Linked DNA regions of Rhinolophus ferrumequinum. The protein of the gene in region 4 purifies or fractionates together with the protein of the main gene of each other region. This does not show direct contact. Links are inferred from orthologs where the notes say so. Each region holds a gene or a part of one and is shown on either strand. Other genes may lie near its edges.

Evidence for each region.
Region 1: the proteins of GSK3B (region 4) and PRKAR1A purify together in Homo sapiens (affinity purification with mass spectrometry; 3 studies listed by BioGRID and IntAct, with this or other methods). This does not show direct contact. The link is inferred for Rhinolophus ferrumequinum from reciprocal best matches to the Homo sapiens genes GSK3B and PRKAR1A.
Region 2: the proteins of GSK3B (region 4) and GSKIP purify together in Homo sapiens (affinity purification with mass spectrometry; 10 studies listed by BioGRID and IntAct, with this or other methods). This does not show direct contact. The link is inferred for Rhinolophus ferrumequinum from reciprocal best matches to the Homo sapiens genes GSK3B and GSKIP.
Region 3: the proteins of GSK3B (region 4) and AKAP11 purify together in Homo sapiens (affinity purification with mass spectrometry; 4 studies listed by BioGRID and IntAct, with this or other methods). This does not show direct contact. The link is inferred for Rhinolophus ferrumequinum from reciprocal best matches to the Homo sapiens genes GSK3B and AKAP11.

Annotation. Positions count from the first base shown.
Region 1 is NC_046304.1:45,323,228-45,330,440, forward strand, and holds the start of PRKAR1A (cAMP-dependent protein kinase type I-alpha regulatory subunit), read left to right. Parts: upstream 1-4,202; 5' UTR 4,203-4,355; exon of another isoform or gene 4,356-4,455; intron 4,456-4,607; exon of another isoform or gene 4,608-4,765; intron 4,766-7,119; exon of another isoform or gene 7,120-7,213. UniProt on the Homo sapiens protein: Regulatory subunit of the cAMP-dependent protein kinases involved in cAMP signaling in cells.
Region 2 is NC_046289.1:7,262,115-7,270,120, forward strand, and holds the start of GSKIP (GSK3B-interacting protein), read right to left. Parts: upstream 3,003-8,006; 5' UTR 2,932-3,002; intron 2,889-2,931; exon of another isoform or gene 2,589-2,888; intron 1-2,588. Other genes in the region: ATG2B (autophagy-related protein 2 homolog B), read left to right, coding at 3,561-3,722. UniProt on the Homo sapiens protein: A-kinase anchoring protein for GSK3B and PKA that regulates or facilitates their kinase activity towards their targets.
Region 3 is NC_046287.1:8,104,263-8,112,107, forward strand, and holds the start of AKAP11 (A-kinase anchor protein 11), read right to left. Parts: upstream 3,011-7,845; 5' UTR 2,889-3,010; intron 2,430-2,888; exon of another isoform or gene 2,314-2,429; intron 1,981-2,313; exon of another isoform or gene 1,962-1,980; intron 1-1,961. UniProt on the Homo sapiens protein: Binds to type II regulatory subunits of protein kinase A and anchors/targets them.
Region 4 is NC_046285.1:45,648,313-45,655,340, forward strand, and holds the start of GSK3B (glycogen synthase kinase-3 beta), read right to left. Parts: upstream 3,003-7,028; 5' UTR 2,605-3,002; coding exon 2,517-2,604; intron 1-2,516. UniProt on the Homo sapiens protein: Constitutively active protein kinase that acts as a negative regulator in the hormonal control of glucose homeostasis, Wnt signaling and regulation of transcription factors and microtubules, by phosphorylating and inactivating glycogen synthase (GYS1 or GYS2), EIF2B, CTNNB1/beta-catenin, APC, AXIN1, DPYSL2/CRMP2, JUN, NFATC1/NFATC, MAPT/TAU and MACF1.

The DNA.
Region 1 (7,213 bases), on a different chromosome or scaffold from region 4:
TGCCATCTCCCATCTTATCCTTCCGCAATCCTGAGCTATTCTCTAAAAATCCATGCTCTTTCCTACCCATCAGTTTCCTGTGCAGGAAAGACCAGTCAGGACTCACTGGGTTCCACTGTGTCCGAGCACCTCCTTTGGGGGGCCATCTCTGGTCTCCTCAGTCGGAGTTAGGTGTCCTGTCAGTGTTCCTCAACCCCTCACCTTCATAGTTTGGCCTTTATAGGGAAAGCACCATGTTCTTGCCGGTCCATTAAGACCGTGAGCTTTTCAGGGTGGGGCCTTGGCTCTTTGTCTCTGCAACCCTGGCACCCAGTGTCTGCTGTATAGATGCTCAGGAAATGTTTTTAAAGGCTTCTGAACCTGGTGATCACGTGTGGATGGGCTTCAGAATCTGTGAGCACACCCAAATAGCATGATAAATGTCATATGTATGTTTGTGCATATTTTCTGGGTAGAAAGCTCATGGTTTTTATGAGCTTCTCAAAGGGGCCCATAACATACATACACATACATGTATTTCCTGGAAGAGGTATAGCTAGCTACATGGTCAGTAAAATGCTAACAGGCATACATTAATAAGATTTGTTGACTTTGTCAGTTTGACAGAATCAAAGAAGATTCCTGAGCCTAGTCAACACACCTGAAAGGTCTGTGTGGGTGACAGACCCATCACTATTTTTTAAAGCCTCAAATCCATGCCCTACTGATAAAGGATTAGTATTAGTTAGAAGTAGTACAGGCATAGGAAATCGATCCAGAGGAAGAATATTTAGAAGAGATTCATACAAATATCTGGGCTTGATTTGATTCATGATCATAATGAATAATTTTATGTGTCAACTTGGCTAGGCCATGGTAGCCAGTTTTTGGTCAAACACTACTCTCGATGTTATTGATAAGGCATTTTTTAGATGTGACTCACCTTTAATCGCTAGACTTCGAGTAAACCAGATTACCTGCCATAATGTGGGTGGGCCTCACCCAATCAGCTGAAGGTCTTAAGATAAAAGATTGAGGATCCCCGAGGAAGGTGTTCTGCCTCCAAACTGCGTTCAGACTCAAGGTGGCAACATGCACTCTCCCCTGGGATTCTAGTCTACATGCATGCCCTGCGGATTTCAGCCTTGCCAGCATCCCAATTGCATAAACCAATTCCTTAAAATCTTGCTCTCCCTCTCTCCACATTCTATTGGTTATGTGTCCCTGGAGAACCTGACTAATTAATAGTACTCTGTCTCTCTTGTTGAACATTGTGGATTTAAATATGCGATATTGGATGAAGACATGTTTTGAAGATATTTTAACTTGCAATTCTCTTTAGTATTAGACCCAAGTTTGCCACTCTTCTGGTTTCGTGGTTGATAATTTCAATTAATGCTCAAGATAAACACCACTTCTCAGTTTAGATAAGCATTTGCCTGTGAAAAAAGTAGGAAGACATCTGGCATTTGAATACTCGCTGGAATTGGGTTAAGTTTGAGTTTGAAACCACAACTTGAGTTCCACAGGAAGCAAAAATGCTCAGCTCCACTGCACACCACCAATTGGTGGTGGGAGTCTGAAAAGTTCTCCTTGGAAATCTGAAATATGTGGCTCCATCCTTAGCCAACGGAAGCTTTGAGTACAGGAAACACTAAGCAATGGGCCACCAAAGTATTCCTTCCTTTTATGTTTTGGTTCTTAGTTCTACTTCTGCTTACTAAATGCACTGCTGATACTTATTTTGTTTTTAAAGTTGCTTGCTATTGTTTCACAAACATTGTAATGGCAATTAGGAATTCTGTTATAAAGAGAAAATTTTACAGCCCCACTACTCTTAGAAACTTACTTTGTTGAATTTTCCAATGACATGGGCCAAAGGAAAGGCCCACAGCCCTTCAAATCAAGGGTAGAAGGCCTCTGGAGAAGAGGAAACCATGGAAACTAGTGGAACCATTGTCATTTCTGAAATGTAATTTACAAGGTGTTATTCTTGCAATGGCACAGGGGCACTGAAAGAGCATTCACACCATTTGGAAACCACTGGGACTGTTTTTCAAAACAGCTGTCCAGGCTGTGAACTCTCCCCAGGCTCAACTATCTACTGCCCAATTCCCTTTTTGTCTTTTAAAGCCCCAGCATATGAGGGTTTGGCAGCTAGAACAAGCTTGAGCACAACTGACACAGGAAATGGCCCCTTGCTGGACTGGCGCCTGAATGCTACTGAATGGGGGTGGGGGAGGGAACACATACACCCAGGCCTTAGCTAGGAAACAGCTGTCACTCAAAGCACTCAGTTCAATGTCAGCAGCTTGCTTGTTTTCATATTCTAAGTGTCTTAGAAAGGTAACACTAATGGTGGGACCCAGTACAACTCATTTTTAACCTTGTAGTTTGGGTAGTTCTTTAGAAAGGGGGAGGAGAAGTGGGAGGCAAACTAACATTTACTGCATCCCACACTGTGCTCGGCATTGTATTTACATACATACTGCAAAGGAGAGCAATTAAGACCACTGCCTTTGTGGCCTTGGGCATGTCACTGAACTGCTCCATGCCTCATTTCTCTTCTGTAACAATAACAGTGATAATAATTCCTATGCCACAGAGTTATTATGAGGATTAAATTAAGTATTGTGTAAAGCACTTAGAACAGTGCCAGGCATAGTAAGTGCTATGTACGTGTTTGCTGTTGTTATATTTACTGGTTAATTTTAACACAGCCCTGCTCATTCTTTTATGATTGAGGAAACTGAGGCTCACGGAGATTAAGTCAATTACCGGAGATGGCAGAGCCTGACACCAAACTCAGATTTATTTGACTGCACTGTTTTCTTCTCAGTACAGGACCGGGCCTGCTCAATGCTATCGAATTCCCTCTCCTGCTTGCCAGCTTAGGGTTCAGTTTATTAGCTCTTCTTTGTACCGACGAGGGTGAAATCCTATATGACTGAGGCTCTGTCTTTAATCCCCCATTCCATCCATCCCTGGCAAAAGACCAATGGTCAACATATGGGGGTGAAGGGTCGTGAGAGGAGAAATTTCCCTCCTACACTTCCACCCACACCAGGCATAATGGTTTTTCTGACAGTTCCTACCCTTCCTCTATCAGAAAATGGGATAACCATAACTAAATAAAATGTTCTGATGAGCAGGACACTTATTATAGCCCGATGGATTTAGGGGAGCAGTTGGCCTCTTAGGGCAGTGCTATGCAACAGAAATATAACACCAGCCATATATATATAATTCAAATTTTTCTAATAGCTATTATATATTTAAAAAAATTTTAAAGGTGAAATTAATCTTATCAATATTTAACCTAATATATCCAAAATATTACCATTTCAACATGGAATCAATATAAAAATTATTAATGAGATATTTTAATATATTTTTTGCATTGTTTTAAATCTATTGTTTACACATACAACCCTGTTGTACCATGTGAGTACAACAGGTACCAGTCAGACACAACAAGACATGTCTTCCAAGGGCCTTCTGTATTCATTTAGCGACATATATGTCTAAAATTGTCCCCTGCTCCCCCTTTCTTCCTCCACAGGCAGATACTCTGATGGAAAAAAATGGCTGAAGGAGTCAAGTCGCTCCCTCACCAATCATCCTCGATTAGTGCAGTTTTTGCGGGCAGTTGGGATTTCGTGTATGGTCACGGTGTGTTTGTACCAATCTGCAAGGTTTATGCTTCTCATCGTGGGGGGTCAGGCGTGATGACGGGGGGCATTTCAGGTTCCAGAAGGGCTCAGGCCTCTTTTGGACCCTGACAAAGTCCTTTCCAGTGTCTTGTGCCCATGGGGACGGTGTGGCCTCCACGGACGGACGACAGCACCCCCGGAGAGGAGAGTAGCTCAAAGGCCAAGCAGACACTTGGCAGGGCTCAGATTTCCTGGACCGGATGGCGGGCCCTAGCCCGGAGGCCCGCGCAACTCTGGCGGGGCACAGGATGCGCGGTCCGGCGTGCGCATCCCGGGCATCCGCCCGCGCTCGGCCCCCGGGCATCCGCCCGCGCTCGGCCCCCAGCGCAGCTGCCGCAGATCCGCCCGGGCCGCCGCCTCCCGGGTGCCTGGAAACGGCAGGAATCCCGGTCCGGGCCTCAAGTCCTCCCCCTGCAGGGGCCACGGGGCGGAGTCGCCCACCTGTCATCCGAGACGCCCCACGTGGGCCAGCTGGAGTGGGGGGCGGGGGTTGAAGGGGAGAGAAAAGGCAGAGGCGGCGAGGGAGGCTGAGTGAGAGTGGGGAGGAGAGAAGAGGGGAGGAAAGGGGAGGAGGAAAGAAGGCAGCTTTCGAAAGCTGCGCACAGAGGGAGCGAAGAGTCGAAGGAAGAATAAAGTGGATCCAAGGCATCCAGAGAGGAACAGGTAAGAAGGGACAGGTAAACAGAAGGCAAGTGCTGAGCTAGAGAGAGCGAAGAACGGAGAAGAGGCAGGAGCGAGGAAGGGCCTGCGGATAAGGACGGAGGTAAGATGAAAGTAGAGCTGAAGGAGAAAGATTCGAGAGTGAGGGGGACTGGGGGGTCCTTCAAGGAGGGGCCAGGGAGAACCTGGGGCCGCTGCGCCTTTAAGGTTGCTTAGGCAACGGCTCTGGCCAGAGCGAGGCACATTGACGTCAGCAGCCGAGCGCTGATTGGCTGCGGCCGGGTTGTTTCCGGTGGAGCCGCCGCGGAGCCGCTATCGCAGAGTGGAGCAGGGCTGGGAGGGAAGTGCTGAGGGAGCTCAGCAAGCCGCAGACTCGCACTCGCAGTCCCGCGCCCTTCGCCGCCCGTCCCCAGGTAAGTGGGGTCGACGAGGGGCCCCGGCGCGGCGAGCTTCGCCGCCTCGCCGCCCGTTTGGGGGAGCTGGACCGATCCAAGATGGCGTCACGGGGAGCGACCTGCAGGGGGACGGCCGCACCCCCTACCCCTCCCCGGCCCCAGCAGGCCCCTCTCCGCAGGCCTCACGCCTGGGGCGGCGCCCCCGACCCCAATCCTGCACCTCCAAGGCCCCCAGGCCGCGGGAACGTCCGCGCCGGTGCGGGGTTCCCCGGCCGCCCCGCCCCCCACTCCCGCGCGCTCCCCCCCACTTCGCGTTGCTCAGGCCCCCGGCCCTCCGCGGCCTTCACCGGCCCTCCGCGGCCAACGCGCCCCCGCCGCCTCCGTCCCCGCGCGCCGCGGCCTTCTCGCTCGCTCTCGTTTTCTGAAGGACAGCAGCTCGATTTTACCGGAATCGGCCGTGGTTGCCGTCGGCGTTTGTGGCTGGTCTTGAGACCCAGCAGGTCTTGTTTTCTTCTCCGGTCTCCTCGCCATCTCCAGCAATCGCGTCTCCTCCTTCCCGGGGTTACCCCCACCCCCAAGGATTTTCGCCTTACTCTTGTATTTCCTTTTGTCCCTTTTCACCGCCCTGCCTTTCCCGAATTTTTTCCCCGAGGCCGCCTCGCCACCACTGTGGCCTTCGGACTTAGAGTGGGATGAGGGATCTGCCTCTCTTCTTCATTTTGTGGCCGTCACTCTGGCATAAGTGGAGGGCACTCTCCCGTCCTTCCTCTCGAAAATAGACGGTAACTATTAACCCCGCCGGCGCAGATTGCATGTGTGATGTCCAACGACTTAACTACCTGCGAGAGTCCCATAGGATCGGTCTTTTCAGAGGAAAGAAAGCTAACACTTCCTCCAGATGACCCCAAGGAGGTGTTCCTGGCTGGGCTTCCTGGGTGCAGTCTGAATCAGCAAGAGTTTCTCAGTGTTTTTAAATATTTCCTGGCATGTAAGCCATTTGAAACAATTTTATCACAACTGAATTTCCAAAAGAAAGAATCTGTGTGATTTCTTAAGAGTAGAGACAATTCTTTGAAATTTTTAAAGTATTAAATAATTTTGAGGAGGAGCAGCCAACTTGTTGGGCTCTTAAGACTTAAGTACAGAGTCAATCGAGGTGTATTCGATTGAAAATCTTAAGGCCGTGAAATCCGGATGTTCAGGGGTTCTGCATGGTGACTGCATTATCTTGGGGGCATCTACCAGTGTCATTTGTTTGGTCTTTTTTAATACATTACTTTGTTTCAAACAAAAAAAAACAGTTTCACATCTTAGACCCAATCCTCTCATTTCTACCAACCAGGGGCTGATCTTTGAATGATTTCTCTGGTCAGTTGAGTATATGTATTGATATTCCTGAAATATATCTGCGTGTTTTGAAGCATGCAAGATGCGATTTATCATTGTTCTTGGTAGTCTTCAGTATTATTTGAAATGTAGAAAGTTTTACTGAAGGAGATTCTTAGTTCTTACGATTGACATGGAAAAGTGGCTGGTATAAATCCATTCTCAAGTGAATGACTTTTTTTTTTAGTGTGTATTTCTGAAGTAGCAGCACGATTCTTTTTCTGTGTTCTCTAATGTATGTTGTCAGGTAGCTGCACACTTTCTCATGATCTGTTAATCCAGTCTTTATTGACCCTTATGAAAGTTGTCAAAACAACATGAGTAACAGTGTAGCACTGTAACTCTTTATTCTAGCCTTTCTTTTACATTTACAGTTTCATTTCAATGGTTTGTGTGCATTATATTTGGAAAAGTCTGATTAGTATTAATTTCAGTTGCAGAGTGGAGGAGACCTCGTTTTTTACTTTTAACTGTTTAGTAATTAGGAGTTAGAAGGAAAACAGTTTATGACTATTGTTAAATTACTAAGGTTTTATTCCAGTGTAAGGTTAGCTGCACATTGCTCTCTCTCTATTTTACTTCACATCGAGGTAGTTCGAACCCTTTAAATTTCATTAAATGTAATTTGTTATATTGAATCTTCATGTAAGCTTAAAACTTAACATATTTTAATACTTTCCTGTCCAGATGAAAAAAATGTTTTGACGTTTTCCTGTCCAAATCTTTTATAGTTTACTTGGTAAGCTTTTTTTCCTTCTATTAAGGATTTTCCCTCTTACCAATGAGTAAGTGTTATAATTAAGAGCTGGAATCTGCTAAAAGAGTCTGGAATAAAAGGTTGCTTTTAAGATTCATCTGAGGTTCCTTTTGTGCTTTAAAAATTTTTAATTACGCTAGTAGTTGGCTAATCAGATCCCTTGCTCCACTGGTTTGCTGGGTGACATTAGGGCATCCCCTGGGATAGGAGTTCGGTATAGGGAATGTCAGATGTTCTTCATTGTGCTTACTTGCTTCCACTTAGGGCCTGCTCATGTGCCCGTGTAATTCTCTGTCCTGTTTACCATTTACACACTTCCCACG
Region 2 (8,006 bases), on a different chromosome or scaffold from region 4:
CCTTAAACGGATACTGAGAGAACTAAACGAGTGAACATCTAGGAAGGGCTTCGTGTGGCGCTGGGCACATGGTAAGCTCAAGAAATATTATCCGTCAATTATTATACACTAAAAATATTTAAAAATATCTTTAAAGAAAAAAGAGCTGACCTCGAAACTCCAGCCGTTTGATTCTTTACATTATGTAGGATGGCTGTAGCTGCTGCCTTGTATAACTCCAAGAGCCACGCGATGTGGGAGCCCGAACATCATGTTCCTGTTACATCAGGTGCAAGTTTTTAAAAAAGGCCAATGACGTCCCATCGGCTTTTCTTCTATTTCACATGTTAACATGGATTATTCTGAAGAATGACCCATTCGGTATCCTTTTATAGAACTCATTAGAAGTTGACAATGGTCAGGGATTATCTCCATCTTCCTCAATTAATGCTAGTTGTTAACATTTTGTGATAGTACTTTGATAAAACACAAAAATAGCATTGTGATTTAGGCTGAGTTTGTACCCTATTTGAGCGAAAGGTATGATGACAACAGGTCCTACACCTTAACATTTATGCTGAGTTTCTCCTAGAAAGCATAATGTACAAGGCAACACACCTAACTTTAAAGAGAGTACGTCTGTTATAAAAGTTTCCAATTTTTATATTTTTCTTATATTTGAAATTTCAGGCATTCTATGAACAGCCTGAATGTACTTGTAATTTTACATTCCAAAACAAAACATATAAACCTGAAAGAAGTCAGTTGCACCCATTCCTCAAAAGTCCAGTTCAAACCTCCCAAACCTAGTCTAATTCTCTGCCAGATGAGATCCCATCTTTGTTTCTATTCTCGCTATGGCAAGTGTTATCATTATATTCACAGACATGGCTTCCTATCTTCAAAATAGTGGGGGTGCCAAAAACATGTATACATAGGACTTGTATTCATTTTTTGTTACCGGTATATATTGTCACAATTTTAATAGCTTTTTCCTTTCTTAAAACGTGTATACATGTTTTTGGCACCCTCTATATCCAGAATCCAACTGCTTCTTACCATCATCACTGCTACCACTCTAACTCAAGCCACTGTCATCTTTTGTCTAGATTATTGCAATGTCCTTCTAACCGGTTTTCTTTTCTCCTTTGGTTCTCCCATCCCACACAAGTCTATTTCAACACAGCGGTTAGCACGATCCTGTTAAAACAGGCCAGATTATGTCACCTCTCCTCAAACTCCTTCACCCAGAGTAAAAGCCCAAGTTGTTATCATTGCCTACAATGCCCTCTATGACCTGACCCCTCTACTATTCCCTGCACCCCTTTCTGATGGTCCTTGACCCCACCAAGCATGCTTTTGCCATAGAGCCTCACACTTGCTGTTCCTCCTGCTTGGAAAACAACTATTCCACGTATTCACGTGCCTTGCTCCCCAGCTTTCTCCAAGTCTCTGCTAAAATGTCACCTTATTAAATAAGGGAGACCTTCGCTTACTCCTTTATATAAAAGTGACAAATCTCTTTCCTCTCCAGTGCTTCATTTTTTTTTCCTACGGCCCATATCACCAGATGGCATATGATTTATGCGATTACTGTTAGTTTCCCTTGCCTTCAACAAAATGTAAACTTCGGGAGGGCAGGGCCTTAATTAGTTCACTGCTATATCCCCAGCACTTAGAATAGTCCCTGGCTCAGGCAGGCAATCAATAAATATTTACTGATTAAAGGAACAGACCTTTCACTCGAGAACATAAGCTCCTTGAAGGTTTTGCCTGATTCTTCTTTACCTGTTACGTAAACCTTACCAGTTGCAGAGACTTTCGTTTAATGGACCCTTAACAAATATTGCTGAATGAAGAGCAAGGAAATTGAAGTAACTGAGAATGCTTGGGACAGGGCTACAAATGAGGGGTACCAACAATCCAAGCACCTACATATGTACACTGGCGAGCACACTGGTTCCAACATGAAAAGGTGGTGTGGAAAGGGGAACCAAACCTTTCTCCACCTGACAGTAGTTTGGGGCTGTGTTAGTGTTTCTAAGGCATTCACGAGTTATCAACATATACACAAAATCTCCTTAAACAGGCCGTCTTACTTTACTATCCTTAATTGAACTATATGAATCAAGACTCTGCTTAGGTTCCTTCCCCACTCATACCGTTTAATTTTCATAACAAGCCCGGGAGGTTAGCTATTAATACGCTCACACTTGGCAAAGGTTTAGAGAGAGCAGTGGCCGGATCAAGGTGGCTGGGCTAATAAGTGGCCGTATCAGGACTGTAACCCAGGACATCTGGCTTCCAGGCCAGCAAACACCTTTCGTGGTTGACTAAGTTAAGAGCCAGCCAGCCTCGCCTCTGCAGGAGTTGCCTCCCCAAAGGCAGAGAAATACGATGGCGCAGATTCCCAGAAAAGCACAAGCACTTCGCCCAGGTTTCTGAGGGGACGGGAGGCGTTAGCATTAATTACAGGAGGCAGTTCTGCCCACAAATGCCTCGAAAACTCAAGTTTCCTGGTCGCCGGCGCAGCACAGCAGGAGGAAGAAAGCGCTCGGGAAGCAGCCAGCCGCCCAACAGTAACGAAGATGAAGCTTTGGAAACAATACCTGAATGAGGCGGGTGACGAACAACTTGCTGACAATAGGCACCGGTCAACACTCGGGGGCGGCGGGAGGCGAGAGAGCGGCCGCAGCCCTCCCCGTGGAGCCGGCGGCGCTCCCAGCGCCGGGTTCCGGGGTCTGGGTCTGGGGTGACCGGGGCGGCCCAGGCCGGACCCGCCCCTGCACCCAACTCAGCCCCACACCGGGCCCCTTCTGCTGCCGCTCCTCCTGGCCCGGCCCGCTGCGCCGGGTCCCGCCCGGAGGACCCCTCGCCCGCCCTCCCTGACGCCCTCCGGCCGCCGCCAGCCCTCCCGCTCGCCCGCCCACAGCCGGCCCCGCGGACGCTCACCTGCGCGCTCCCGGCTTCCTCCTGCTCTTCCCTCCCAGGGCGTCGCAAACCGACCTGCGGCGCCGCCTCCTCTCTTCCCCGCCCTCGCCCCGCCCCCTCGGAGCCGGAACCGCTCGCTTCCGGGCCCTTCTCCCGCCTCCTGCAGCCCCAGTGTGGCGTCACTTCCGCCAGCGCAGGCCGCGCGCGGGGAGTCCGGGGCTCGCGAACGCGCCGGAGCGTCCCCAGAGTCGGGAGCGCGCCTGCGGATGACAACAAATTCGTCTCGCGGCGGCGGTGGAGGTGTCTGCCTCAGCCCCTGCCTCAGGCCCGGTCGCCTCGCCGCGCGCTCTCCTGCACCCTCTCTCCGTGCGGACGAGGACCCCTCCGGAAGACCCCGGGCCTGGGGCGCCCGCGACTCCTCCGCCCCGTGTCCCCGCCAGGCCTAGAGCGAGCGGCGCGGCGCAGGAGATGGGGTCGTCCTGAGGGACGCCTGGTGCCGGGAAGGGATGGAGGGGCCACCCCGGGCTTAGGCCCCTCCGCGGCCTGGGGACGCCGGCCAGTGCCCTTGCCGCCGCCGCAGCGGCCTGGAACCGGGGCCTGGGCCGGGAGGCCGGAGCCGCCGCCGCCCGCAGCCCTCGCCGGCCCTCAACATGCCTTGGCCGTTTTCAGAGTCCATCAAGAAGAGGGCCTGTCGGTACCTCCTGCAGAGGTACCTGGGCCATTTCCTGCAGGAGAAGCTGAGCCTGGAGCAGCTCAGCCTGGACCTGTATCAGGGCACCGGGTCCCTCGCCCAGGTCCCCTTGGACAAATGGGTAAGAGCTGCCGGCGGCCCCCCGGGCGGGACTCGCTGCCCTCCTTAGGGCGATTTGAACGAGTGTCACCCCAAATGTGTGACGTTCAGCCCCTCTCTGGGAGTGGCAGGGCTCAGAGAAGTGTGTTCCAGTCTTGTTTAATCTGTTCCTAGCAAGTTTGCGCCCCCAAATCACGTGTTCCAGAAACTTAGCAGAGGTAGTGGAGTCTACGCTGGCAATCAGTGCACGGAGGCAGCGCCTGGGGTCGGTGAGGGGGCCTGTGGAGCGCGGGGACCAAGGGCTGCCCCCTCGGGTAGGAGGGGTCGCGGGGCTCCGTGGCCAACACCCGGTTTCGTGGGAGGACACTCCGCGAGGTGAAGGATGAGGCGGACCCCTGGCAGTGTCGGAACGCCTGCTGGTTCCTGGGTGTGTTTTGGGTTGGCTGCTTGCGCACCGCGGTCTGCCTCCCGCATTCGCCATCTGGAAGAAACAGGTGAAGGCCGCCTCTGCCCATGTGCCTTCTTTGGCCCCTCGCGGTGTGACAAGGCCAGCCTGTGAATGGTTGCGTGGCCCTGGCCGTGCTGTTTAGTTACGCTGTGTGTTTCACGTGACGGATCGTAAACGCAGGTGTTGTAAAAGCACCGAAGCTGCAATTGGCAGACATTTAAACTCCTGTTTTCCACTTGTCATCCAGGGGCTGTGGGTTGACTCATCGTGTCTTACAGGTGCTTCGTGTATATTTCAATGCACCACATACAGTTGTACCGGCATTTGTGTGTTCAGTGCATACAGTATTTTACTGAAAGTGTGTTAAGCCTTGAGTTTGACAAGAATGGAGTGGCTTTTCTCCTCCCCCAACCCTTCGTTTATTGCACTCGAGTTTGCTGTTTACAGTTTGAATATGTTGTCCCATTCTGGAGTTTTACTATTCTAAAAACACTCCAACACACTTTCCACTTAGGAAATCATAGATATAGGTAAGTTTCTTAGGAGAGTTGTGTAAACAAAGGGAAACTTGTTTTCCTCCTCATTTAAGCTTTGTAAAAAGTGTGTGTTTTTTACCTTTTATGTAAAAGTATTTTAACAGAGTAATGACTTCCTGAGTCATAGAACCTTGAAATGCTCAGGTTATGGTAACACCTTATTATGACCCTTAAATTAATTGGCTCTAGCATGAATAAACATACAATTTTATCAGTAAATCGATGATTTACGCTGGGGAGAGCACATAGTAAAGTAGAAAGAGCCCTGGTCTGAGTAGCAGAAAGACCCAATGCCACACCTGGCTAACCCAGGCTACCACAGTTAGCCAATTGATATTGGATATAGTAACACATCTAAGCTCAGTAAACATTAATGGAGTGTCCACTCCATGCCAGGCAGTGTGTCAGGGTCCTGTATTGCTGTAACTCTTGCCAGAAGATAGGGTTTGTGATAGATATTTTTAAATTCATTGACCCATGAGTCTATACTTTTGGTACAGCTTTTTTTTTTCACTTGGGGAATATTGGCGAACAGTGTGTTTTTCCAGGGCCCATCAGGTCCAAGTCGTTGTCCTTCAATCTGGTTGTGGAGGGCGCAGCTCAGCTCCAAGTCCAGTCCCTGTTTTCAGTCTTAGTTGCAGGGGGCGCAGCCCACCATCCCATGGGGGAATTGAACCTGCAACCTTGTTGTTAAGAGCTTGTACTCTAACCACCTGAGCCAGATGGGCTGGCCCCTTGTGGTACAGTTTTGAATAGACTATCTTGAAGGAGGAGGATTGGGCCGTGTATTAACTGCCTTTTGTGGGTCGATTGACTTTGTACAGATTATCCTTTATGACTTTTCATATTAACTCTATGAGGTGGGTGATATGATTTCCATTTTACAGAGGGAGTTAAATAATTTCTCCAAAGCGACATGGCCAGCAAACAGTACAGTGACAATTCAAACCTGTCTAATTACTAAGCCGACTATTATTATTATTTTTTAATTAATCGTGTCTTCAAGGAAAGGACCGTGGATGCTTACTGAGCATCTATTTATTTAAGGCACTGTGCTAGGCACTCTCATTTGTGTGGTTTTGCTTAATCCTCATGGAAATCAGTTGGTAATATTCGAATTTTACAGTTTGACCAGGATTGATGGCAGAATAATTTAGGGCTCGATTTAATCTGAAGATTGTTTTGTTCTGCTCCTTGAAGGCCGGGGCTATTCCCAGCCAAAATGATAATGTCAAATAAAGCATCCAGTAAATATTTGCTGTTGCTGTTTATTTATTTATTGACTATAGTGTGCTGTGTTGGCGACTAAGATAAATCTTGATGTGACACTTAGCTATTCAAACTTCTGGTTCAAATTCAGTTACTTTTGACACTTGATTTTAATGACTTTCATTCCTGAAACAAAGATACCTCACAGATTCTTGGATCCAAGTGGAAGAATTACATCATTGGCAACATCACTAATGTTTCAGTTCTCAGCCATCAATTATGCACGGGATTATGTTGAAATTGGCTGTGACATTGCCGTCTTCCTTGATCTTAATCAGTTGTGCTTGCTAATTAATTAATTGGAAGGTGTTGCATTTTTTATATATAAAAAATTAACTTTAAAATCCATTTTTAAAAACTGTTCAGCAGACTTAGATTCATTGGGATAATTTTCCATGTTTTCGAATCTTTTATAACTGTGTAGATAATGACTTAAAAAAAGAGACAGTGTTTTTAATAGACATTATTTCAGCAACAGAATCATGTAACAATGGAAACATTTCCAAATACAATTTTTCACAACTGTTCCCCCCATAGTACAAGTATCCTTTGAAAAGCAGTTAGTTACTTTCTCACTCATTATTAAAGTGACATCTTTACTTTGAAAAGATAAAGTATGTTTAGCTTTTTGGAATACATCTGGTTGGTAGCATGTACTACCAATATCCATCTGTCATCACATGAATGGTCGGCATATTTAGCACTCTAATCTTGGTGTGGAAGAAAATTGCTTTTCATATTTAAATTCAACTCTTAAATATTTGGCCATAAGAAAACCCAGGAAATCAGAAAGTTACTGTTACTTTCTGTCTCTTTGCAAAGACTCAACTGCTTTAAGGTCTGTTTTTATTATGCAGAAGTAAGTTTCAGTGTGCTGAAAAGGAAAATCCAGCTGAGGACACCACTCTTAACTCTTCCCAGTGTGGAACTACTCATCTTCTCTTTGTACGGGTCTGATGTATGGTCTGAGTGAAGGCGTCAGTGCCCATTTGTAAATTAAATATTAGTACAACTTTTAAATCGAAAAATGAAAATTTTAATACAGAATGTCTAATTTTCTACTCACATCCCTGTGGATTATCGGTTATACTCTCTGGGATATACGAGGTGTGATCACAAAATGCGGTGAATGTCTAAATGACAAAATTTATTACCGTAAAGCATCCATTGCCATTAATCCCCCTCAAAATACTCCCCCTCTCTTCAAACACAGTTATCCCATCATACCTGCCACTTTCTGAAGCAGTTCTGGAAGTCCTCTTTCGTGTCTTTACTTCATCCTCCATCATGACAACACTCCATGTCACACATCGCTTCTGGTACGGCAATTTCTGTCAAATGAAAACATTACAGTGTGTCCTCATCCACCTTATTTACCAGATATGGCACCATGTGACAAAGTCAAAATGACCATGAAAGTATATGTTTTGAATGGACTCAGGACATGGGGGCAGCCACGACAGCACAACTGAAGACACTCACGAAAGAGGACTTCCAGAAGCACTTCAGAAAGTGGCAAGAAGGATGGGATAAGTGTTTTCTAAGCGAGGGGGAGTATTTTGAGGGGGATTAATGGCAATGTGTCTTTTACTGTAATTTTTTTATTTAAACATTCACCGTATTGTTTGATCACACCTTGTGCACTTTGGAGACCAGTGACTTAAAAGCTCTCGTAATGGGAGGGAGTGATAGGGACAAGGCATTTGGGACTATTCCACAGTTGGAATGAGCTGTCTTAGAAGTTCCTGCGTTCTTTTCCCATTGAAAATAGTATCCAGTATTGGGGTTAAGAGTTGGAGATAAAGATTTGGGAGTTATCAGAGCATCAGTCGTGACTGAAACACTGGAATGGCACAACGTGCACGGGCGGTTGTAGATTAGGTTGAGACTCAGAAAAGGTTGAAGGTGAAACTTAGATGAACACCCGCATTTCAAATGGTGAAGGGTTGGAACAAAGAGCGTGTGAAGAGGGTTATGGAAGCTAAGGAAAGTTAGAATTTTAAAAAGAGAAATTCATTGCATTTGTCAGCTTATTGGCCGTGAAGAGCAGTTT
Region 3 (7,845 bases), on a different chromosome or scaffold from region 4:
ATATTCTCAGATTAATCCAAAAATGTTAACTTTCATCCTTCCCAGTCTCAATGTATCTCAAATGCCTTAACTTCTAACAGATATTTTAAAATAAAATGAACTTTTATATATAAAGATGAGTGGCAGGAGGAACACATTTAGATCTGTTTGGATCTGATAAAGAACTTTTCTTTCCTTTCCCCACTTCACCAGTTTATACACCCTTAACTCAAGCCCAAGCCAAGCTGAGATCTTTTCCTGACTTGTCCCCACCCTTCGTTCCCTCTAAGTGGCTGATTTTATTACTAAAAGGCAAGCCACTTGACAAAAAGAGAACAAATGCAGCTTACCTAAACAATTGTCCTACCCAAAATGACTTCAATTACTTTTCAAAGGCTAGAAAAATAAAAAATACATCCTAAAAGCTTGAAACCTTTGCCAAAGGGTCATCAAAACCAGCAAAAAGATCAGTTTTTCTATCCCCGAAGATCAGTTTGCCAAGATGGAACGGAGGGAACTTTTTAAGTCTAGATCAGTTTCTTTTGCTCATTCTCAAAAAGACATTTTCTAAGTTTTTCACATTTTCTGCAAGTATAGACAGAATGCCACAGCTTATTTATAACTGAAAATTTCCCTAAAAATGAGCTATAATGTATCATCTGATGGGGTTTGATTTCCTTTTCCAGACAGTAAGTCCCTAGAATTAAAAAAATAATGTATGTATGTATGTTTGTATATATATGTATATGCATAATATACATTATGTGTATATACTTCATATATATATATATATATATATATGTATGTCCTTCCAGCCTCTAAAGGCAAAGGAAGATTTCTTCAGCTTCTAGACTTACCCCTAGAGTTTAGAAGCCAGAGAATTTCTCCCTGTGTTTAAGGGTCAGTGGCTAGTCCCATATCCCATCAACTGGGACGTATCACTGGCCTACAAGTATACTGCTAGGTCCTTATCATTAATGCGGTTATAAGTACATCACTAATCACTAGTTATCAGTTCTGCCTGGGAACCCATTTGTTCCGATTGCCCTACATTCTTTGATCTCTCATAAACTATTCTGTTACAGCTACAACAGCAAAATTCACTGTCAACAACCCTTGTGTCAGTGCTGCCAGAAGGAACATAAAAAGTATGAATAACCAGAGTACTCCTTGAAAAACGTGACTGTGTGTTTAAAAATATTCATTAAATTGCACTATTTTAAATGACACCAATCATGCTGGGAACTGTGCTGCCATTTACTCTAAAATGGTAAGACATTAAAAACCATCTATGCATTATGGAGTACCCTCTATTTGCTGAGTACTCTACATGTTTTGAGTAGTTCCAGTTATATCAAAGTCAGGATCCATCAATAAAACATCCCCAACACGGTGGGAACCCGCTAAAGACAGCTTACGTGTTTTACGCGTTTTGTAAGGGGCTGAATAATTACAAAGCTGAAAACACAACCGGAATTTTTAACACCGGTTTGCACTAAGGCCATCAGATATGTCTCAGCAGTATTTCTCATACTGCTATTTCCTTAACATCTTAAGCTAAACCATCTCCAATTTAACAAGCGTTAGAGGAGATGGTAAGCAGAAAAGAATTGTTAGGAAGTCATACCCCGGTGGTGGTTTAGATTCTACTGCCATACTCATTTTGCCAACATTTTTTATACTTTGGTTATATATTATAAGGCAGCTAAGGTGCCTGGAATAACAGACGTACAGTCAATCCACTCAGAACACATATGGCCAGCATTTAAGCCACTGATAGCCTTAGAGAAAAACTGACAGCAAATGTAAGTATCAACACTCTGAGGAGCTGCTGCTAAACGCCTTCCGTTCTTATCACAAGATTTGGGTCGCGCCTCGTTCGAGCTCAGGGGTTCTGACAGTGGAAGGATGCTGTTCGGAGACAGAGTGCAACGTCCTCCTCCTCCTGCAAACGCTCCCGTGCGCGCAGCACGAATACTCACTAAGCGAACGCACCGCCACGCACCGAGGGAACACGGCTCTGAAGACCACCCTGGGGATGGAAACTGAACTTGTCATTCAAAGGGGCTCCGCCGGACCCCAGGAAGCCCCGTCTGGAACCCGAGGACACCCCCACGCCCCGGCCCGGGGCCGTGGGCTTCCTCCCTCCGCCCCGCTGCTCCCGCCCTCCTCCCACCGCCGAGCGAAGGCGCAGCTCTGCGCAGCCCCGAAGTCAGAGCAAGGACTGCCGGCGGGCGGAGGGCTGGCACGCCGAAGCAGGGCCGCTCCATCCATCGCGGCCCCGCACGCCGCCGCCCGCAGCTCACGCCGCCGGCGGACCCGCACTTGGCTCACCTGGCGCAGCTCACAGTCATGTCGCCGGCTCGCAACGGCCGGTCGCGCGAGCTGCCGAGCCAGCGGCCGCCGCCTCCCGCCCCGGCCCCCAGCCCGCCCCCCTCCCCTCCCCGCGGCCCGCCCCCGCCCCCGCCCTGCCCACCCCGGCTTCCGCCGCCGCAGCTCCGGTCCGCAACACCACCTAGTCCCCACGCCTCCCACTCACTCTCGCGAGAGGGTCACACGCCTCTCGCGAGAAGAACTCCGTGACCAAGCCCGCGCAAAAGTGGGTGGGCTTTTAAAAAGGAAAGAAGGAAAAGGAAAAACCTTCCCACGTGCTCCCTGGCAGCTGGTGGAGCGGCCCCACGCGTCACGTGACGTGGAGGCGGCCTCCCCATTGGCCAGCATCCGCTCAGCCGTGGGAGCTTTAAACTCGAGGCTGACCTACGAACCTGCGGCGAACGTCTTGCGCGCTTCCTGGCCCGTTACCATGGAAACCGTTTAACCCTTTCCTCTGGCAAAATACCCAAGCCTTGGCTCGCTCTGCAGGTTTGGTTTCAGTCCCTGCTTCCATCCCTTCGACCCCTTAGTCTTACCGCCTAGGGTCAGCTGGACTCCTTCGCCCCACGCTGGCTGAGCTTTCTTCTGATTCTCGGGGCCCTTTCCAAAGCGGCAGCCCCACCAGATCTGACGGCCCAAGTAAGGCTTAGCCTTTGGGGTGGCTCCGCCCCTTCTCCCCAGCATCTCTAGGGAGGACCACTCACAGCGCACCAGGCCAACGGCCCTATCCGAACCTCAACAATTAGCATCCAGGAATCTCCGGGCCCTAGTGCTCACCCTTACATCTTAGGAGGAATCGCAATCGGGAAGTAAAAGCACTGGTCACGGAGAAAGCAAGCCCTAGATGAAAAGCTAATATGTGATTCTTTCCTCTTAGAATCGTAAGGGCTAGTCCAGTCAAGTTTCAGTCTCCTCAAGGACGTGTATTCCTCAAGGGTGGAAGTACCTGATAGATGAAAGGCATTTTTAAGTGTATCCTCTTTAAGGGTTCTGCCCTGTTTGGAAGAGAGGAGCAGGAAAGAAAGGGTGCATTCGTATGTCCATTTCTTCAACCAGTATTTGTCGAGCTCCTACATATGTTAGGCATTACTCCAGGCAGTGATGGAGACAAATAAGTCTCGGTTCTAGGGAGCTTATTGGGTGAGGGAGAAGAAAGAAAAAAATATGTGTTGGTGTTAACCTCTCTACGAAGAAAATACCAGAAATGCTGTGATGGTGATTGTGATTGGGTGGCCACTTGAAGGGCAGCCCTTTTGAGGAGGAGACACTTAAGTAGTGATTTGCATAACGGGCATGCAAATATCAGAGGACAGAGCATTCCCAGGCAAAGCAAACTACTAATTCAAAGCCCCAAAATTAGGTTTGAGGAGGAAAATATGAAAAAGTCCGAGGAAGTAAACAAACACGAGCCAGATCCTGTAGGCTTTGTAAGCCAAGAAAGGAATCAAAGGGAATTTATTCTAAGTGCAGTGGAAAACATTGGAAAGTTTTAAATAGGGGGGAGACACCAATGTTTATTTAAAAAAAGAAAGATTTTCCCAGCAAAGAATGGATCTGGTGGAGGCCACAAAGGAAGCAAGTAGATTAGGAGACTTGCAGTACCATGTGAGAGACAGTCCTGAAAGACTTCGGCCTCCAATAACCTTGAATTGACATTCCTCTTCTAAAAAGCCATTCGAGCCCTGGTGCTATTTGCTGCCTTTTGTTAAAAACATCTGGACATATCTTCAGTTACTGCTATTTAATTACAATAGAAGAAATAGATTTTGTTGTTGTTGTTACTTGGGAAAACGAATGGCCCAAAAGGAAAGTCATCTTCCATTTTTTTCCCCTCCATTTACACCACACAGAAAACCACTTCTGTCTATTCTTAAAGTCAGTTCTAAGAAAAAGCAACATAAAATGATGTTCAATGAAGATAGTTATTCCTAAGTATAAGATCTGAAAAAAGTAGAGGTTGAAGGCTGAAAAATGAAGGTGTTTCACTAAAAGAAACAGAAGTCAGGACACGTGAGAGTTCCCTCTGGAAGACCTCTCAGTAACTGGTGAGGCAACCAAATCAAGGTACCTTATTATCTTTGAGTCTCAGCTTCCTCATACATAAAACAAGGCAATTTAAGCAGCCTCCACCCAAAGTCATTAAGTCTGAATTACACTTCTGCATGCATGCATACCCTAGTAAGAGAGAAGCTGGAAAGGCAAATGAAATAAAGTTTTATAAAAACCTAAGAGTCAACAACACAAGCCAAATGAAATTAAACACACACTTACACACACACCAGCTGAGGAACTACGCAACTAAGACAGATACCAGGAATGCTTCCCTAAGAAATCTTGGCCTTCTCAGAGGGGGAAAACGGAAGCTTTGCCACCTGCTCAACCTCATACTCCCTTTCTCTGTAGCTATTTTGAACCTGTGTAGTATTTAATAACTAATGATTCATATGTTCCTAATCAAGATTGAAAAAACAGAAAATAAATGTTTAAAAGAGCTGAGGCAATATCTTAAAGTTAAGCTGACACCTTAATTTTAATGCAAATAAGGTTTCAAGGAACCCGATAGGCTTACTTCTTAAAAGGAAAAATGCTAAAAAGAGAAAGAGTATTTCAACAAATTAAGACCATTCCTTTAAAATACTGAGAGAACGGAGGCCTCTTTTAGAGCCTTTGCAGTCATAATGATTAACTGAAACAGCTGCTTGGTACTGCTAACTTAGATGAAAATGGGCTGGACTCTACCATTCTGACTTGTATTAATAGAGCCATAAATCCTCCCAAGTCACCCTAGCGAGACAGTCATTGTGGCCAATTTTTCGGAGTACAACAAATACAACGTGAGAAGAAATTTAGGATTGAGATCCATTTCTACAGATGTGCCTAGTTCTTGATTCTTTTAACATTTCTTTTCCTTTGTTAACAGCCTCATTGAGATACAATCACATACCATACAACTCACCCATTTCAAGTATACAATTCCATGTTTTTTGGTACATCCCCAGAGGGTTGGCATTTCTACTCAGGCAATTTACATCTGACCATGTCACTCCGTGGCTAAATACCCTTCATTGGCTTCTTGTGGTTCTACCCATGATATACCTAGCTTTCTCCCCTGCGCTCAGACAGTTCTCCTTTCAGTTCCTCAAAACAGGCCCAGACCCTCCCTGCTTCAGAGCCTTCCCACAAGCTGTTCCTTCAGTATTGAATGTTCTTTGTCTGGTCATCCCCCTTAGCTTCTGAATGCACATGGATCCCTCACCATTCAGCTCTACTCTATTTCCTCAAGAACTCTTGTCCGAACTCCCTAAACTAAGTAAGCCCCTCCTTATCTAGGACTCTACTTTTTCTTCAAAGCATTTATCAACTTGATTTTTATAAAAATAATGATTTTTATTTGAGTGATTACTTATTTAATGTCTGTCTCTCTCCACTGCGAGAAGGAAGGGAGGGCGGAAGGGAAGAAGGAAGAAAGGAAGGAAGGAAGGAAGGAAGGAAGGAAGGAAGGAAGGAAGGAAGGAAGGGATCTTCACAGTTTATCCTGTGTTCTATTTTTCTGTCCCTTGATTTGTTGAAATAAAGTTTTAGGCCCAAGATGGAGCTGCTCCTGCCCAGGGTGACACATCAACAAAACAAAGATAACTTTCGAGTTCCTGTAAACGCTCCGTTAGACCAGACACTCAGTATATCCACTCAGCCAATCCCCAAACACAAAACCAACTCTGAGCTCTATACTTATTTCCTTATTCCTTTTCATGCCAAACAAGGTAGACGATGCAGCCCCAGCCAATCAGATATTTTCTATTTTTTTCTTCCTTTTTCTTTATTCTTTATCCTTTAAAAGCTTCCTGCCTTCCCTCCCATTTTGTGGTTCTCCGAATGGAGACTGTCCTCTTCGTGAAGTGTTAAATAAGTGTTTATTTGTATCCCCTAAATTGTTTTTCTTTAATCATTTTTTAATACTAGGAATCTTCAGCAAAATTTTCATCAATGTTATAAGCCCAGTATGTGCTGTGGTAAGGGGAAGTTGAAATGGTCTAGCAGGGGACACAAGTGTCCCCTGCCATATTTCCTACAGAGAGGGGGTGTGAATAAGGGAAGGCCAGTGGTGTACTCAGGGGCCAAGTGAGTAGTGTGACAGGTCGGATAACACAGGCTGAGTCTGAGTGTACCTAAGATCGTGCCTAGGAAAGCTCACATGTCCCCAGGGAACATTTTAGTGAGCTAATTTCTATCAACCAAGTTGGTGGTGTTTCCTCCAATGTCATTTTGCTATTTAATGGAAATCTTACGTTCGTTTGTTTATGTAGTCTAATGGAGCCAAGGCATTTGGGTTATATGCCACGAAAGAATTATGACCCAGCAAGGCTGAATGACTTTGTCTAGATCACATGGGGCACTAAATGTCATAGTTCAGACTAAACTTAGCTGGTTCCGTCTGGTTCTACCTTTCAGTGGAACTAAGCATACTGCACAAAGCTAGCCTCTCAGCTGAATCCTCCTAATGACCTTCTGACTACAAAGGCAGGCATCATCTTTCCTCAGGAGCTTTGGAGCTTTACACTAGCAATCTCGGACAGCCAGAAGCAGATTCCAGATCGCTTCCTGTCTGAAAACTCGCATCTCCCTTTGGCCCACTTGCTGAATTCCTGTTTCCTGTCTGAGTGATGGGCCCAGCTGGCAGTTCACTTGTGAAAGAGATGTGAAGTCCTTCTTTTCCACATTGCTCAGTTTGGGAGATTTCTTTTTTTTTTTTTATGATAGTGATTTAATATACATTTATTGTGTAGAACATTGGAAAACGCAGAGAAAGATAATGGAGCTGACTACTTTCTCAGCGGTTGGTTTACATGCATTTTTTACTGTAATAATACTTAATAAACCAATGGAAAATATTCTGAAAGTGGAAAAATGTGGACATTATAATTTCATCAGCCATTTAAACATGCAAAATGCTTTTTAAATTTAAAAGATGAAGTATCTCATTCATGCCTTTATTTTAAAGGCATGTATATTACACTACTGTCTGTTATATAGCTTATAACTTATTTACTTACCTCTTTTGTAATGAGTCTCTTGAAAGACAGAAACACATCTTAACTGTTCTTGTAACATGATACCTAGTAATGTTTCTTTATATAGGTGTTCATTAAATGCTCAATGACTTCTAAAATCGTAACTGTAATTATTAGTACAGATTTTAGTCCAAAAGTGCCACTCTGAATTAAAGACCTCTTGAATTAGCAAAATACATTTGAGTGCTATTATATATCGTACTCAAATGTAGCGATTCTTCTGATTTAAATCATCATAATTAACTACTGACTGAATTTCCAATATGCAAAATATACACATACTGTCTTTTAAGGAAATGTAATCTATAAATGTCTGAAATTCAAAACCAGATAATCATGCCTAAATGTAATTACTTCATGAGAGAGCACTTTTAAAATATCATCGCTCTCCTGAATTTACATGGTTGGTATAGAGTTAATTATT
Region 4 (7,028 bases):
CTACCCCCACCAGCTAATATGAACACATTTCTCAAATTCCATCACTTCTTATTTTCCAATTTAGGACCCTTTAATTCAAATTTACCTACTTGCTTAGTAAGTACAAAAATCATTTACATGTCATACAAAAATCACCATTTTCTGTATCTCTGTCCATTCCTTCCATCTAGAATCCTTTATACTTCTCTGTCAATTGAAGTTACCGCCTCCTTTAACACCTGTCTTAAAACACACCTCTGCAGGAAGTCTTCCCTCTCCAACCCATCTGCCTCACCCCATTTATTGTTTGTCCCTCTGAAAAAAGCATTATATTTGTATTTATACACTTACAGTCATCACCATATTGTTTTCATCTTTTGTCTTTATAACCTGCCTCTACAACTAAATCATAAGCTATTGAGGCCACGGACTACAATTTCTCATGTATCTCTTCTGAACAGGGGTCCCTTAGAACACTAGCACTCTAACCAATGTTCAGCAATTCCCTTCTAAAATGTCCTTAAAGTCAATGTTGTCAAAAACAATTAGCACTGAACTCCAGCTTTTTTAATGTTAAGTTGACCTATATGGTAACAGATAATTAAACATTTTAACCTACACACTTTATAAGGGGTTCCCCTATTAGCCAACATCCACACTATCGAGAATTAAAGAGTCTTGTTCAAACAAAATCCTGGAAACAAAATGAAAAGTCCAAAAATTTAACATCGTAAGCTATTCTACTTGGCTCTCTAAAACAGATTTAATAAATTAATTACCGAAAATTGATTTTGAGTGGTTTTTAAACTATATTACCAAGATGAAAAGCAAACACTCCACTACCACAAGAGGCTCTTAAGTAGCTATTACAAAATTTGCTTCATCATAGCTGAAAATTACCCCAGAATTTTAAAATATTCCTTTCAAATGACCCCAGTGCTTAGAAAGCCTGATCCTTCCCTGAAAGATGCATCATCAGCTTCCCTCTTCACATACCCTGCATTCTGTACAAGCCAGTCACCAAAAAAAAAAAAAAATTAACTTTCAAAAATAATCTTCCATTCAGCTATTACCTTAGACTACCCTATTTCTGGCAAGTTCCAAAGGCCAACATGACTTGAAAGCCTGAGTTCAATTAAAATCATTTTATGTTGCTTAAAGATATAATCAATTTCACGTACCAGCATATACTTTAAAAAAAAAAAAATCTCAGTTCTTCATTCTCTCCTTCTTCTAGGCAACAAACTAGTTTTTCGTTACCCTAATCATGCCCCTTTCCTCAGGAATAAGAACATAAAGCTATATTTTTGTTAAATTCTGCACATATGTTTAAATAAACTGTCATTAAATAGCACATAAACATAACCACAAATAGAGATACATTGGAACATTGGACACTTAGTATACTAACACCTCAAGAACACAGACTTTTCAGTATAAATCTGGGATAAGAATACAGTCTAGCAACATCCCTGAACACAGCCCAAATTTCCCTATTTTATCCAGGATCACAGCCTTCTGCAAAACCTATGATGGAAAGATCTACATCTTATAACTAAATCCACAGTTTTATCTAAATGTGACAGGAAACCAATGCAAGAGTATTTTAAATAGTCCTAAGAAGGGACCCCTGAACTCTTCATGTAACAAGTACTGAATGCAAAGGCCACCCCAAAATTGAACTTAAATGATGGAGTCAATAACAATTAACATCAACATTGAACTTCATATTTGGCAACGTGACAATACAAACCTCAATCAAAACTTGGACCAAGTTATCTTTTGATTAAACATAATTACATAGTGGTAGATTGGTAATGTCAAAACGGGAAGATTAAGAGAACACGTTAAACCACTTATCCAATTTAAAACAATGCATGTAGACACACTACTGCTACTGTGTATCAGTTCCCACCCGCCCCTTGTAAACGGAACGATCAATGCTCGCCTCCCAACGCTAATGCTGGTTACTGAGCAAGTTGATTTCCGGATTAAGAACAAATACTTTGTATCGTTAAGCAAGAAAGAAATGTTAGGAGACTGTGACACTCAGTCTCTCTGTTAAGTATACAAAACTATGACAACCTCTGAGACCTGAGCTAACTAAAATATCCCTCATTCCAAAAGACATACACTGAGCGAACGTACATAATGGTTTATGAATCAAGCCTTGCCCTTCTCTTTATCCAAAAGGATGAGCAAGTAAACACTTCCATCACTATTTTAACGTGGAAATACTTAAGCACTGGATGAAGCTGACTATCAACAGCAAGGAAAGTATAAAAAATTAGGCGCAAACCAAATCATCCAAATAAAAAGCATATTCTCTCAATTCAAGGTTAATGAGACCGGGGGAGGGAGTATGGGAGGAGAAAAGAGGGAGCTGCCTCATCCTTGACTGAAGACAGGTTTTTGCCTTTTTCCATTCCCCCTGATTGCTGTATCAGGAGGTCTAAGATTTGAAGATCCTGGTATTTCAAGGTGTGTTATTCTAAGGGTGAGGTGGCGAAGGGGTGTAAAATAAAATCAATACTCACTGCTAACTTTCATGCTGCCAAAAGCTGAAGGCTGCTGCACTGGCTTGCAGCTCTCCGCAAAGGAGGTGGTTCTCGGCCGGCCTGACATGATTGCTCTCTTTCTGAATCACCTTTTCCTTCCGAATTACCTTCTTTTCCCTCCTTCCTCGTTTTCTTCCTTTTGTTTTATGTTGGGGTGTTAGGTTAATGATAAATGCAGCATTAAGTTCTCCCACAAGAAAAAGAAAAAGACTTTGTCCTCTTGGCTTTTCACTCCTTTTGTATAGCTATAAAACAACGAGCGATGTATTTCTCCTTCAAGACAGATCAGTCTGGATATTTAACATATAGATGATTTGGGGCTGGGAAAAAAATACAATTCTTTCTCCTCCCTTTCCTTGGAGGGGAGGAGAGAGGAGGGGAGAAATCCTAAAAATATATATATATCACGCGAAACAGGGGTAAATACTTGATTGAAAATAAGTACTTTGAATATTGTATTTTCCTCGGGGATTTTTTTTCCGAGTCAATGAAGAAGGGAAGCGGCGGAAGGATCACGAGTCTCACGCTTGAAAAGAAGGGGGATGGGAAGGAGGGAGGGAGAGGGAGGGGGTGGCTCGGAGATGCGACGGAAAACGCTGCGGCTCCGGCAGCGGCGGGATCCGGCGGGCTGACGGCGGGGGCTCGGCAAACTGGAGGGCGGCGGAGTCGCGAGTCAGTCAGAGGCGGGCGGTGGCGGCGGCTCCTCTCCTCATTGCGCCAGGAGCAGCTGCAGGCGGCGGCTGGATCCAGCGGCCATGGCGGCGGCGGTGGCAGAGGCAGCTCCCTTCAGACCCCAAGCAGCGGCTCCTTGACTGCTCCCCATACGCCGGGGACATGGGAACCCAGCAACTGCTTCCGTCCCTCGGGGCCCCCTCCCCCGTCCACGGCACCAGCGCGGTCGCCCTCCCGCCCCTCGCCTCTGCTCGGTGCCTACTCAAGAAGTGTCCGCGCTTTGCCCCCAGCCCGGAGCCCTGTCAGCGGCTGTGGGGCCGACTCCTCCTTGCTTCCTTCCTTCCTTCCTTTGTCACTGGGGCCGGACGACGGCGGCGGCGGCGGCGACGGCAGCACAAACCCGCATTCGCCCGGGTCAGGGGCTGCTCTGTGTGAGGAGAACCGTCTGCGCAGCCGCCTAGCTCTTCCCCACTCCCTCTCCCCCCTCCTACTCGTCCTCCGCCTCCTTCCTCCCCCACCCAGCCTTACACCACCCAGCGCCCCGCCGCCCGCGTAACAGGAGTCTGGGAATCGCCGGACGAGCCCTGCGCCCGCCGCTTCTGCTAAAGGACCGAAGCCTGAGCGTAGCCAATCACAGACGTCGTATGTTTGCGGCTCCTCCCGGAAAAAGCCGATGGACCTAAGGACCCAATTAGAATGTGCCGCTGGAAATCCACGCCCAAAGTCCGAAAAATGCCGAAGATACCCGAACCAGAAAAAGGTGGGTTCGTCTTGTTTTGTGGCTGGCTAGAGAAATTCGACAGTGGCAATAGTGGCCAATCAGAGTCGCCGGCCCTCACGAAACCGCCTGAAGAGTTAAGGGCAGTGAAACTCCGAGTCGCGGGTGAAACAGCACGGCTGGGCTCCGTGGCTGCTTTGTAATTGGCCAAAAACTCCGCTGGGAGTGCACCTCCCTTGGTGATTGGTGAAAGGAAGGGGGCTTCCGAGGACAGTCTGGCCAGTCACAACGTCTCCTCCCTCGCCAAGGAGGGGAGAAGAAAGCAAAGGGAGGGCGTCTATAAAGCGCCTTCTCATTGGCCTGAAGCTTTGGAGCTAGAGTTGGGGCAAAAGGGAAAAGGAGGGAGGCCGAAACCCTAGCGATAGCCAATCGGCACTCACTGCCTTCCAATCGCAAGACCTAGCTGCAATGTGATTGGCCTCCGACCTCCGGCGGCGGTCCCAGGAGCCAGAAGAAGCTCGACTGGGGTCGTGGCGGCGGCTCTCAGACCATGTGGAAACCGCAAATAGGGAGCGCGGGCCCTCTACACAGCGGGTCCGAAACTGCTGCGGTCGGCTGGGCTGAGCTCGGAGCGCTCAGGCGAGCAGAGGGCTTAGGGGCTCTCCCCACCGACTACAGGCTCTAGGCGGGGCGCGGCTAATTCTGCGCCTCCGAGACTCCCTTCTGCCCAGGCTAGCGCGTCCCGAGTACCAGCGTCTTCCCCGCAAGGGCCAGATGGATCCAGGCGCCTCCCCGGCGGGGTGCGAGCTCACAGACGCTAGAGTGGGAACAAAGCTTTCAGAGAGGCAGCGCCACGCCCAGCCGTGGGGGCCATTGATTAGAAAGAGGGAGACTGTGCCTGGTGCGCGCGGCCAGGCCGGCCTTCTGGAAACGCCCCCTGAGAAATGAGCTCATGCTGGATGCGCGCGCGCTCCTTGGGCGCGACTGCCCAGCGCAAAACGGGCCCAAAAATCAGGTGAAGGGAAATGCCATCAGGCCGGATATCCTGAAGCCTCCGAGGAAATGGGGAGTCAGAATAGCCCTTAGTAGCTTTTGGTCCTTTGGAACTAGGGTGATCTATGAAAGTATTATTTAAGTAGGTTTCACATAGAGCCGGGTGTTGTTCTGCAGAAAACCACTTCCTTTGGTTTGCTTGAGGACAGTGAGGTATGACTACGTCAGGATAGCAGAAAAAGTAGAATGGACAGTTGCTATCCTGATTGTAATTTCCACCTGAAGAGTCATCTCTTTCTGTTAAAATACTATCTCCAGAAAGCACATGTAAAAATACCTATGGCTAATCAAATTATGTAGCTATTGCTTTGACATACTGATGAGGGACTTAGGGCAAAACAAACTAAGCTTTGATGGTAGGCAAAAAAGGTCTAGGTAGGGTTTGCAGACAGGTCTACAGGGGTCAGAAAAGTAAAGCATATGAGTAAGACTGGCCTGGTGGAAGACAATGAGGAATGATAAGGAATGTGGCAAACTGGAGTGTCCATGCTGTAACTGAAGGGAGCAGCTGTTCAGATCTAGCAGATTGTTGGCCTCAGGAATGTAGGTCCAGTGTTCTGAGAGATTCTGTGTTTTTTTCCCTCTCCCAAGAGAAACCCTAATTTGTGTAAAATATCTCTATTTTTAAATGTTAGCAACCAGTATTTCAAAACCCTGAAGGCCAAACTAAACATCCTGGGGTAAATGTGGCCAACATGCAATCAATTTGTAATTTCAAACCTGAGCATGGGTTTTGTAGCCCCAGAGCAGTAGAGGCTCTTGTTCTTTGCAATTAAGTGAGAATATGAGATCTCTGGATGTCATGGAGGAGAGTAAAGAATGTTAAAAGCAAACTCAGTGCATGGCAACTTTGCCAATGAATGTTGCCTCTACATGCAAACTATTGTTAATGAATGACCTTTGTCACTAGTCCCTAAAAATGCTGTGAGGCGCTTTACGTCCTGCCTCCCTCTGGACTCCCCATCCATACTCCCAATTCTACCAGCGGGAAAGGGAATAACATGTTTAGGTTATACAAATTGGAAACATGGCTATTCTTTTGTATATAATAAAGTACAAAAATAGTCTAAGACTGATTATTGTTGGTGCCTTCAAATAGTTTGAACTGATGCTGTTTAAAAAAAATAAATTTGACCAAGTCATGGGGAATTTTTATAGGAAAAAAAGTGTTTCAATCCAGAATTAGGACTTGAAGAAGTTTATGAGAAAATACAGAACTGATGAAATTAACATTCAGTGTTTGTTTCTCTGAATTTTCAAACACTTTACCTTCCAACCTGCTGTTAACCACTTACTAGTTTGTAATAATTTTAATAGGTAATATTTGCTGAGTGTTTACAATATGCCAGACACTGGTCTTAAGTGCTTCACACATACTATCTCAAATTTATAATAATCTTATGACGTAAGTAGTGTTATCACCTCTGCTTTTCAGATGAAGAAACTGAGGGCCAGGAAGGTTTACTAACTTGCTAGGTCCACAGAGCTAAAGTAGAACCAGGATTCAGATTCACTGTTCTAATACACACTTCTCTCTCTCAAGCAGTCCCCACCTCTCCTGGTATGTCTTGCTTTATCTTAAAGTCTAAGCCTTATGTCTTGAACTGTTTGTGCCTGGTTGTGAACATATCCCCTAGTTTGGTTTATAACAGTTTGGTTTCCTCCAGGGCTTATTAGATTTCCCTTGCAGAGATAAGTGATTCTGAGCCACAGTAACAAACCAAAGGACTAGGGAAAGATAAAGGTAGGAAAGCTGGGTGGGACACAACAGGTTAAGTAGTGTAGTAGAAAAAAAAAAGAAAGGTTAGTGAGTGTGCCCACAAAAGAATAATTATAAATTAAAATGCACAATGAACAGGCTTATGTAGTAATAAGAAGTACAGGCATACCTTGGCGATATAGCAGGTTCAGTTCCAGATCATGGCAATAAAGTGAGTCGTAATCTTTTTGCTGGTTGTAGGGTTTTGCCTTCAATTTGTTAAAAAACATCTGTGAAGCACAGTAAAGCGTAGTGCAATAAAATGAGGTATGCCTGTATTTGTATAGCA